2 linked regions of the Nothobranchius furzeri genome follow. The protein of the gene in region 2 binds, or shares a complex with, the protein of the main gene of each other region. Links are inferred from orthologs where the notes say so. Each region holds a gene or a part of one and is shown on either strand. Other genes may lie near its edges.

Region 1 (4,191 bases), on a different chromosome or scaffold from region 2:
TGCTGCTTCTCAACATGACGCATGCTCACGCTGATCTGAGTTTAATCCAAACACAGGCAATCACATGGAGGACCTAATGAGACATCAGATAATGAGATATTGTTTCATTGACTTGTTAAGCCTTTTATTACAGTAATCTGTGATTTTTCAACAACAGTAATTGTTGTGAGATGAAGTACCTCTCACATCGGTGTCATGCAGATATCATATCATCTCCGACTCAAACAGAAGAAAATAAAGCTCTCTGGGTGGTAGGGTTTTCATTTATTAGAGTATTCTTGTAAAATGTAAAAAAATGAAACACTAGGATGCTTTAAAAATGTTAAATATTCATGATGTTCGTTCGTTTTGTATCTTTTTGTATCAAACAATATTTAAACTAATTTATATTAGTAATAAACTTGTACATTTTGTACAGATATTTATCCTGACTTTAGCATGAAGATGATGCAATTTAAGGAGAAATATTTTTAAATTCCTGAGATATTGTAAGCCAGTTAGAAATATTTAGCAGGCATTTGTGTACAATGACACTATTGTTGTATTCTGTTGTGTCATTCTGTCAATATGATGTTTTAGCTCATAGCATGCCAGCTTTTGGACATCTTTATTTGTTAGTAAACAGTTTGAGTGAAATATGTCCTTTTATGGGAACTGGGACAATGAGCATTAAACTGGAACTTTCTAAAAAATCTCAGACTTGTTTCTTCACATGTGTGTAACTAGTTTTATCTGAGTTATTTATTTACCTTTATCTTTAAGAATGGTTTATTATGAGGTTCTCTCGACGTTATTATGGCATGGGTACTTTAAGTGCAAGCACATGTTCTGACTGGTGGAAGGTGTGCTAACTCTGTGGTTTGCCCGGGGTTGCCCCATCATGTGGGTCGTTGGGTTCTTGTCACGTGGTTTATAATAGCCCGGTTATTACAGTTTTGGCTCTCATTACTTGTTGCATGGTGTGTCACGTGACTCACCCCGATTTATATGGAATAGAAGATTAAACTAGAGAGGTAGTCGAAATTTAAGGCTACGTTTCTCTTAAGAGAATCCCTAAATTTTATTTGGGATTAAACTAACTAAATCCCAAATGGGAAAGTCTGGGCGAGCGTGCATGTGAATGCAGTTAGTGACTAGTCAGTCAGTTGCTGTTGTTGCGTCATTGGGCAAGGCACTTAACCCACATTGGCTGCTGGAGGCAGCATTTGATCAGATCTTCCAGCAGGGGGAGCTGTTGTCATCAATTTAGCTCGCAGAGAAATGGGGGCAGTGCAGTTTTTTTTTTTTTTTTTTGCCTCCTCTGCTCCGAGTTGTGCAACTAGTTTAACCAGAACCGGAGATAGTATCAGGAATCAGAAATGAAAGCTCGTCACATGTGACTTTCCGGAACTCTGCTCCCCTTCTGTTTGAAGTTGGTGTCGAACCAGGGTCCGCCGGTTCCGAAGACCTGGAAACTTCTGAATGTCGGTACGTATGTTCTTCAGAAAGAGGACAGCGTGAAAGTGTAAGGGTGGAAATTTAAAGGCATTTTGTGGATTAGGATTATTAGATATGAGTGTGTGGATTATAATCTACAGGACACGTGAAACATATCAGCACCAAAACAGATTTATTGCTGATTCTGAATGTAATTTTATTTCCTCACTGCTGGGCTTTTAGTGATTAACTACTCATTTAGGTCTGATTACAGTAACTACCATGAGCTTTGACACATGGTTGCCAGGTGGGATTACGTTTCCTGCAGCAGTGTTTAATATTAGATGAGAATCAGGCACCTGAGGAGTGCTCCCACATCCCAGTAACACTGGTTTCTTGACTGGTCACACACAATACTGGAGGGGCTGGGCCAATGAGAAAATAGCTTTTGAAGCTAAGTATAGCAGACAGAAGAAAATCAGCAGTAAAAAAGTGGCTCCCCTCTGTGACAATGGAGACATTTCCCACTGTGATGGATAGTAATCCCAATGAAGACGAGGTATAACAGGCTTTTAAAAGCTGTAATTGCTCAGCTGTAAATGGCAAGCCCAGGAACAATAACAGAGCTGCAATTAGCCTCAAATGATGGAATTATTATTATTGTTATTTTTGTATATAAGATGCTTTTATGCTGTTAGAGACCAACAAGATATGTGAAAATCAATCTGACAGCTCCCATCATGAAATGATTGGCCTCAACGTGAGCAGAAAAGCAGAAAAAATAAGGAGAAAACAAGATTTGTGTATTTTTTATATTCAAACATAAATTTTATTTTATTTTCCTGTGTGAGGCCTTAGAGCCAATGAAGTGTTGAATTTACTTAAGTTATGTCAGCTGATTCCCCTTAACCAGTATCAAATGTAAAGGGTAAAATACATTGTTATGTGACGTTAAATTAAAGTAAATGTATATTTTTCTTTGCATTGAAAGAGTAGGTTCAGTGAGAAGACATGTTTTTGAAATATTATTGTTCATCCTAAGTTTAACATGCTTAACCTGCTTACCTGTCGGCGTTAATACAAAGACACGTCCCTTCACGCTCATGCGAGGGTGATGTGTTGGTGGTTCCCCGTGCTACGTATAGATCACGAGGAGGTTGTGCGGTTGCTGTTTTGTCACCTACACTCTGGAGTGAACTGCATTTGAATATTAGACAGGTGCCATCATTGCAGTTTTGTAAGTCATACTTGAAGACGCACTACTGTGTACAAGCCTTTCCAGCACTGGGATCTGTAACATTGCACTAATTTCTTTGAGGACCTTTTTGTGGTTTTTATTTTTTGTATTTTTTTTACAGTTTTTATTGTCTTTTTTATTGACTTTATTGTATGTTCTTATTGGATGCTCTTTTTTTTTCAAATGTTTGTGTTCAGCATCTTGGGCTTCTGCTCAGGTAGTGGAAGGTGCTTAAATAAATGTAATAAATGAAAATGACACAAAACATGCAGGTTTATCGTGATAGTAATCTTCTACCCCTATTTCCTGCAATATCCGCTGAAAGAAAATAGACGTGAAAGCAATCGAGTCAGAAAAAGCCACACAGATGTACGTTACACTGTAAATTGGCATTTATGGACTCACCCACCTTGGATCATAACGGGGAAAGCTGTTGTTTATTTAGCATCCAGGAGAGAGCAGAGCATATCTTGGCTAGTCAACGCTAGCTGTTAGCATTAGCATCTCTACCACACGGCATGACTCCTCCAGGCTTGTGTTATTTGTGGGGATAAAACATCAACGTTGCAGAGCAAACAGTGTCAGTGGTAGAGTCGCATTGCTGTTAGCCAATCAGAGGCGAGATGTCTGAATATCAGGAAATAAGATACCAAATCCTGTCGTGTTCGGCTCAACTCTGATCTGGCTCATTTCTAGGTGGCAGATAGTTGTTAGTTAGTGGCAGAGGAGTTAAAGTAGCTTTCCAGAGTTTTCTCCTTTCAGAAATTATGTATGATTGATCAGAAATCTGTAAAAGTGATTATCTTATCATGTACTGTGAAATAATGTAAGCAATACTTCTTTTTTTTGGCCTAAGCACGCCCCCTGCCCCGCAGAGCTCCATGCAATAGGAAACTGAGCGCCAACCAGAACTAACCAATAGCGTTAGACTACCGCTTCAATGCTTCAAATTTAAGGAATACCTCGGCTGATGCAGAGTCGATGAACTTTTCACGAAAAAGTAAGCCTTCAAAATATAAATATATGAAAACACAACATGACACGAGAATAATACTTGTAAAACAACGTGTTTTAGCTCTGTTTGTCGGCTACAGAAGCACATTTATAAACAAGAAACGCGAAGTCGCCATCTTAATAAAACGGATCGGCAGACTTTTTGTGTGATATACTGGTCAGCCACTAGATGGTGCCATCGGATAAGAGAAATACTCCATGAAGATACTTTTAAGTGGCAACCCCGTAATCGGAAGGTTGCAGGTGTGAGCCCCAGTCAGTCAGTTGCTGTTGTTGTGTCCTTGGGCAAGGCACTTAACCCACATTGGCTGCTGGAGGCAGATGGAGGGACTGGTGGCACCAGCGTTCAGCAGCCTCGCCTCTGTCAGTGTGTCCTAGGATAGCTGTGACCAAATTGGATCACCACCTCCAGAGTGTAAACATGTGCGTGCATGGGTGAATGACCAGTTGTATTGTACAGCACCTTGGGGGGGGGGGGGGGGGGGGGGTTTGTAGGACCTTAGGGGACACTATGTAATAAGTAC
Region 2 (3,807 bases):
GGGAAAAAGAAAATGAACAAGAAAAGGATCAGTGGATCCCAGGAAAAGCAGAATCAACAGGAAGAGCAGAGCAAAGCTAACTCAGGTGTTTGCTAACCATCAAAATTAGGTGCCGCCCGTCTCGGGGGCGGGCATCTAACCTATGAGAACCCACCCGATTGGCCAAATGGGTGAAGAGCTCTATTTGATTTGTTAAAAAAACGTCATGTGTCGCAAACATTTGAGCTGACCATTCATGATGATATTTATCTGTTCTTTGCGATATGCATATTGCGCGTGCTGATTTCGCGATGACGATATATTTACGATATATTGTGCAGCCCTAGAATAATGGGATTTTATCTTGAGGAGGTGTGATCAGTCAGGGTGAGGGTTAAAAGAAAAATGATGAAAACAGATTCAAACAAAGTGGATTATAAGAATTAAATATGAAATCTTCTAAATTGGAACATTTTTTACTTTAAAAACAGCTTCGTCACTGTTTCATTACCACCCAGAAAAAGATGAAAGCATTTATTTGTTGTGATGCAATTTTTCCCACCAACATGAGATGTATCCCTGTAGATATGGAATCTAATAAAACATAACCGTTCCCACTTAAAAATGTTTATTCTAAGTATTTCCAATACTAAATAGTGACTTCTTTAACAGATTACACAAATCAAAAAATCAGTCTCGGTTCGATTAGCTTCACCTCCTCAACCTCCTCCGAACTGAGGTCATTGTTCTTCAGCCTGCAGAGGATATAAGAAAAATAAATCAACAAGTCAGTGATGGAAAAGTGGAAATGTGTGTTTAAATCCAAAAATAACGTTGACTTTTGCCTCATTGCTCAAAATTTTGAATGCAAACAACCGGCGAGCACATGTTGCACTCGCACACAGCATGGCCTACCAAACGGATTTCATGTGAGTGTTGTGCTTCAGGGCTTGAATCAGGTACTCCACTCCTGCTCTGGTGATGCAGTTCTGTGTCAGCCTTTCGCAGGAGAAACAAAGGCAGCTCAGCTCACTCGGTCAGCAAAATAGCTTTTATGAAAACACAAATGTAATATGCAGCTAAAGACCTACCACAGCTCCTCCAGCGACAGGCTGTTCCGGACGATCCCGGAGAGCGCGCGCGCTCCTGCGTTGCCTACACCGTTACCTACCAGACTAGCATCAGATGCATGTCTGCATTACTTGTAGGATAATCGAATAGAAAACATCTGTTTGGAGCAGCTATTCTGACATGTAAAAAACTCATGCCACAGGTTAAAAGCAAAAATTACCTGAGCCATACAAGAGATTTGCTGTTTTCCAAAGCTCCAGCGATGGCCTCTGCTCCTGCATCTCCTATCTTATTACCCCAAAGCCTTCAAAGACAAGGGAGGAATTATTTAAAACACCTAAAGGTGGGTAGGAATGCTTTTCTGGAACTTTTTATTACGGTATTGCTTGAAATGCTCTTCACATACAAGTGGCAACTAAGAAAAGATGTTTTGTCAGCAAAAGAAATACATTTATTTGCCTCTGATGTGTACATTTTTGGTAAAACCTCATCCAATAATTGTGAATGTACCGTTCTTAATGATCGGTTCCCGATTCATCCATTAAAAGTGCATCCTCCTTCTGCACATATTCCTCTACATGTATGTGCGCAAATTGTGTGTTCTCCACTCGGAGCAGCTGACCGTGAAGCGAAGCCAGAGCCAGGCTGCCTAGTGTATAAGACGGAATCTTCTGTTCTTTTCATTGTTCGCAAATTTAATTTAAGGAGTTGGTTTTTATGTTCTGTTTGGAATCGGGTTCTATTCTTGTTTGGAAACATTTATGTTTATGTTTATTTATTTGGCAGACACGTTTATGCAAAGCGGTGCACAATTGTTAACCTATCGGGCATGTTGTGATCTGTGGGGGAAACTGGAATACCCAGAGGAAACCCACGCATGAATGAGGAGAACACGCAACTCCACGCAGAAAGGCTGCTGCCGGGTTTTGAACTTGCAACCTTCTTGCTGCGAGGCAACAGTGCTAACAGCAGCCCCGTGACGGACCTGTTGTCTGTGAACACAGCCCGTCGTATGTCAGCCGGCAGAGCCATCAGTCATTTTCCTCGGTATCACATGTGCATCGAGAACCGGTGCAACAGAGAGGAAAGAGTTGAGTGAGAGGAGGTTTGAGGCAGGTTCTGGACGTTTCCACCTGTTGTTTGTGGGCTTTTCCCAGAACGCTGATGGCACCGAGCTGCTGTGGTTTTGAAGTTGGGAACAAATTAAGAATGCTAAAAACTGCTCTGTTTTTCACCATAAAAACAGCACACGAGATTAGCAGGCATACAAAACTATCATACGGCAGGGGTGGGGAATCCTAGTCGTCTAGTGCTGCCACCCAGCACGTTTTAGTTGTTTTCCTGTTTTAATGCGCCTCATTCGGCGGTTGAATCCTCTGTTCAGCAACTCGTGAAGCCTCTCAATCACCTGCTGATTAAAATCAGGTGAACAGGGAAACAACTAAAATATGCTGGATAGTGGCCCTTGAGAGACTAGGGGACACCCCGGTTGTACGATTCTAAACTGAACCCTTGAGAAACAACTATTGCGTATTCCTGTATTCTGTAGGCGTGGCTTAAGGGAAAAGGGGGACTGGACCTTTGGACTGTCTATTTAAAAAGAGTAGCTTGCCGGAGCTGCAAGAAAAACATATTTTATTCCACCTTTACAGAAGATGAAGCATGGCATGTCGCAGGAAACTGTTTACCCTAAAAACTTCAGCGAATGATTGCGTCTCAGTCCTTCAGCCAGTCGCTTTGCTCCTTCTGCTGTGATGTTGTTGTTGCCAAGCCTGAAAGGGTGAAAAGGAAATTCTCCATCTGTCTGACTGAACTGTGCCACTCATGTTGTTGGTGACCGTGTGCTGACCTCAAGGACAGGAAACTCTGCTTGGCCTTCAGAAGGTGAGAAATGTGCAGCGTGCTAGCATCAGTTAGCCTGTTGTTGAAGAGACTAGACAGAAACAAGGTGGTCATGGAGGGTAAGTGATGCAGCAGCGTAAATTTGAGGAGACTTACGCAATTTTCTGGAAGTTGTCACAGTGGACAACTTTAGCGGTCAGTCTTCGGATGCCCTCATCTGTGATGTTATTGTTTCTGAGGCTGACGAAGAAACAACATGAATTTCTGGCATTTCTCTGCCTTGAAGTAAAAAATCAGTTAAATGAAAGAATTAAAATCGCCCGCCACCTTTTTCTCATGAGTCAACGCTGCAAGAATTTGCACGATCTCTTAGCACTCCGAATAAGTTTTAGGCAAGGAATCGAATCTTAGCTCAGTGTCTGCCAAATTAACAAGTTACAGCGATTTCATATGTTAAACAGCAAGTCACCCCCTACCAGATTCTTACTCAACTCTTACTTCCTGTTTGAAAAATGCAACAAATGCTGTTGCCTAGCAGACCGAGAGGGCGGAGCTGCTAACAAATACACACACAGGCTCACAACGACATTGTGACATCATATGGTACCAGGTAACATTCTAGGGTACCTCTTAGCCAATAGCAATGGCAGATTTATATTCTAATGCAGTGCTGAGTTTTTACCTGACAACGGCACAACTCTGACAGTTTTAGGCAGAAAATTAAAATTTTTACTAAAATGCACTAAAGTGCAAAAACTACTGACTACACGTGTCTGCAGCACGATTAGACACGCATTTATACAGTTTATCAGGAAAAAAATAGTTGATTTGGGGGTGACTTGCTCTTTAAGGGCCATAATGATTAATTCCAAGAGTTAAGCCTGGTTTATGCTTCTCCGTCAACTCCGCAAGGGA

What was found.
Region 1: nod2 (region 2) and map3k20a share a complex: the UniProt entries of both Homo sapiens proteins name them as parts of the signaling complex. The link is inferred for Nothobranchius furzeri from reciprocal best matches to the Homo sapiens genes NOD2 and MAP3K20.

What each region holds. Positions count from the first base shown.
Region 1 is NC_091754.1:20,955,500-20,959,690, forward strand, and holds the start of map3k20a (mitogen-activated protein kinase kinase kinase 20), read left to right. Parts: upstream 1-1,317; 5' UTR 1,318-1,467; intron 1,468-4,191. UniProt on the Homo sapiens protein: Stress-activated component of a protein kinase signal transduction cascade that promotes programmed cell death in response to various stress, such as ribosomal stress, osmotic shock and ionizing radiation.
Region 2 is NC_091749.1:70,967,686-70,971,492, reverse strand, and holds the end of nod2 (nucleotide-binding oligomerization domain-containing protein 2), read right to left. Parts: intron 3,133-3,807; coding exon 3,049-3,132; intron 2,984-3,048; coding exon 2,900-2,983; intron 2,823-2,899; coding exon 2,739-2,822; intron 1,355-2,738; coding exon 1,271-1,354; intron 1,155-1,270; coding exon 1,071-1,154; intron 979-1,070; coding exon 895-978; intron 735-894; coding exon 662-734; 3' UTR 591-661; downstream 1-590. UniProt on the Homo sapiens protein: Pattern recognition receptor (PRR) that detects bacterial peptidoglycan fragments and other danger signals and plays an important role in gastrointestinal immunity.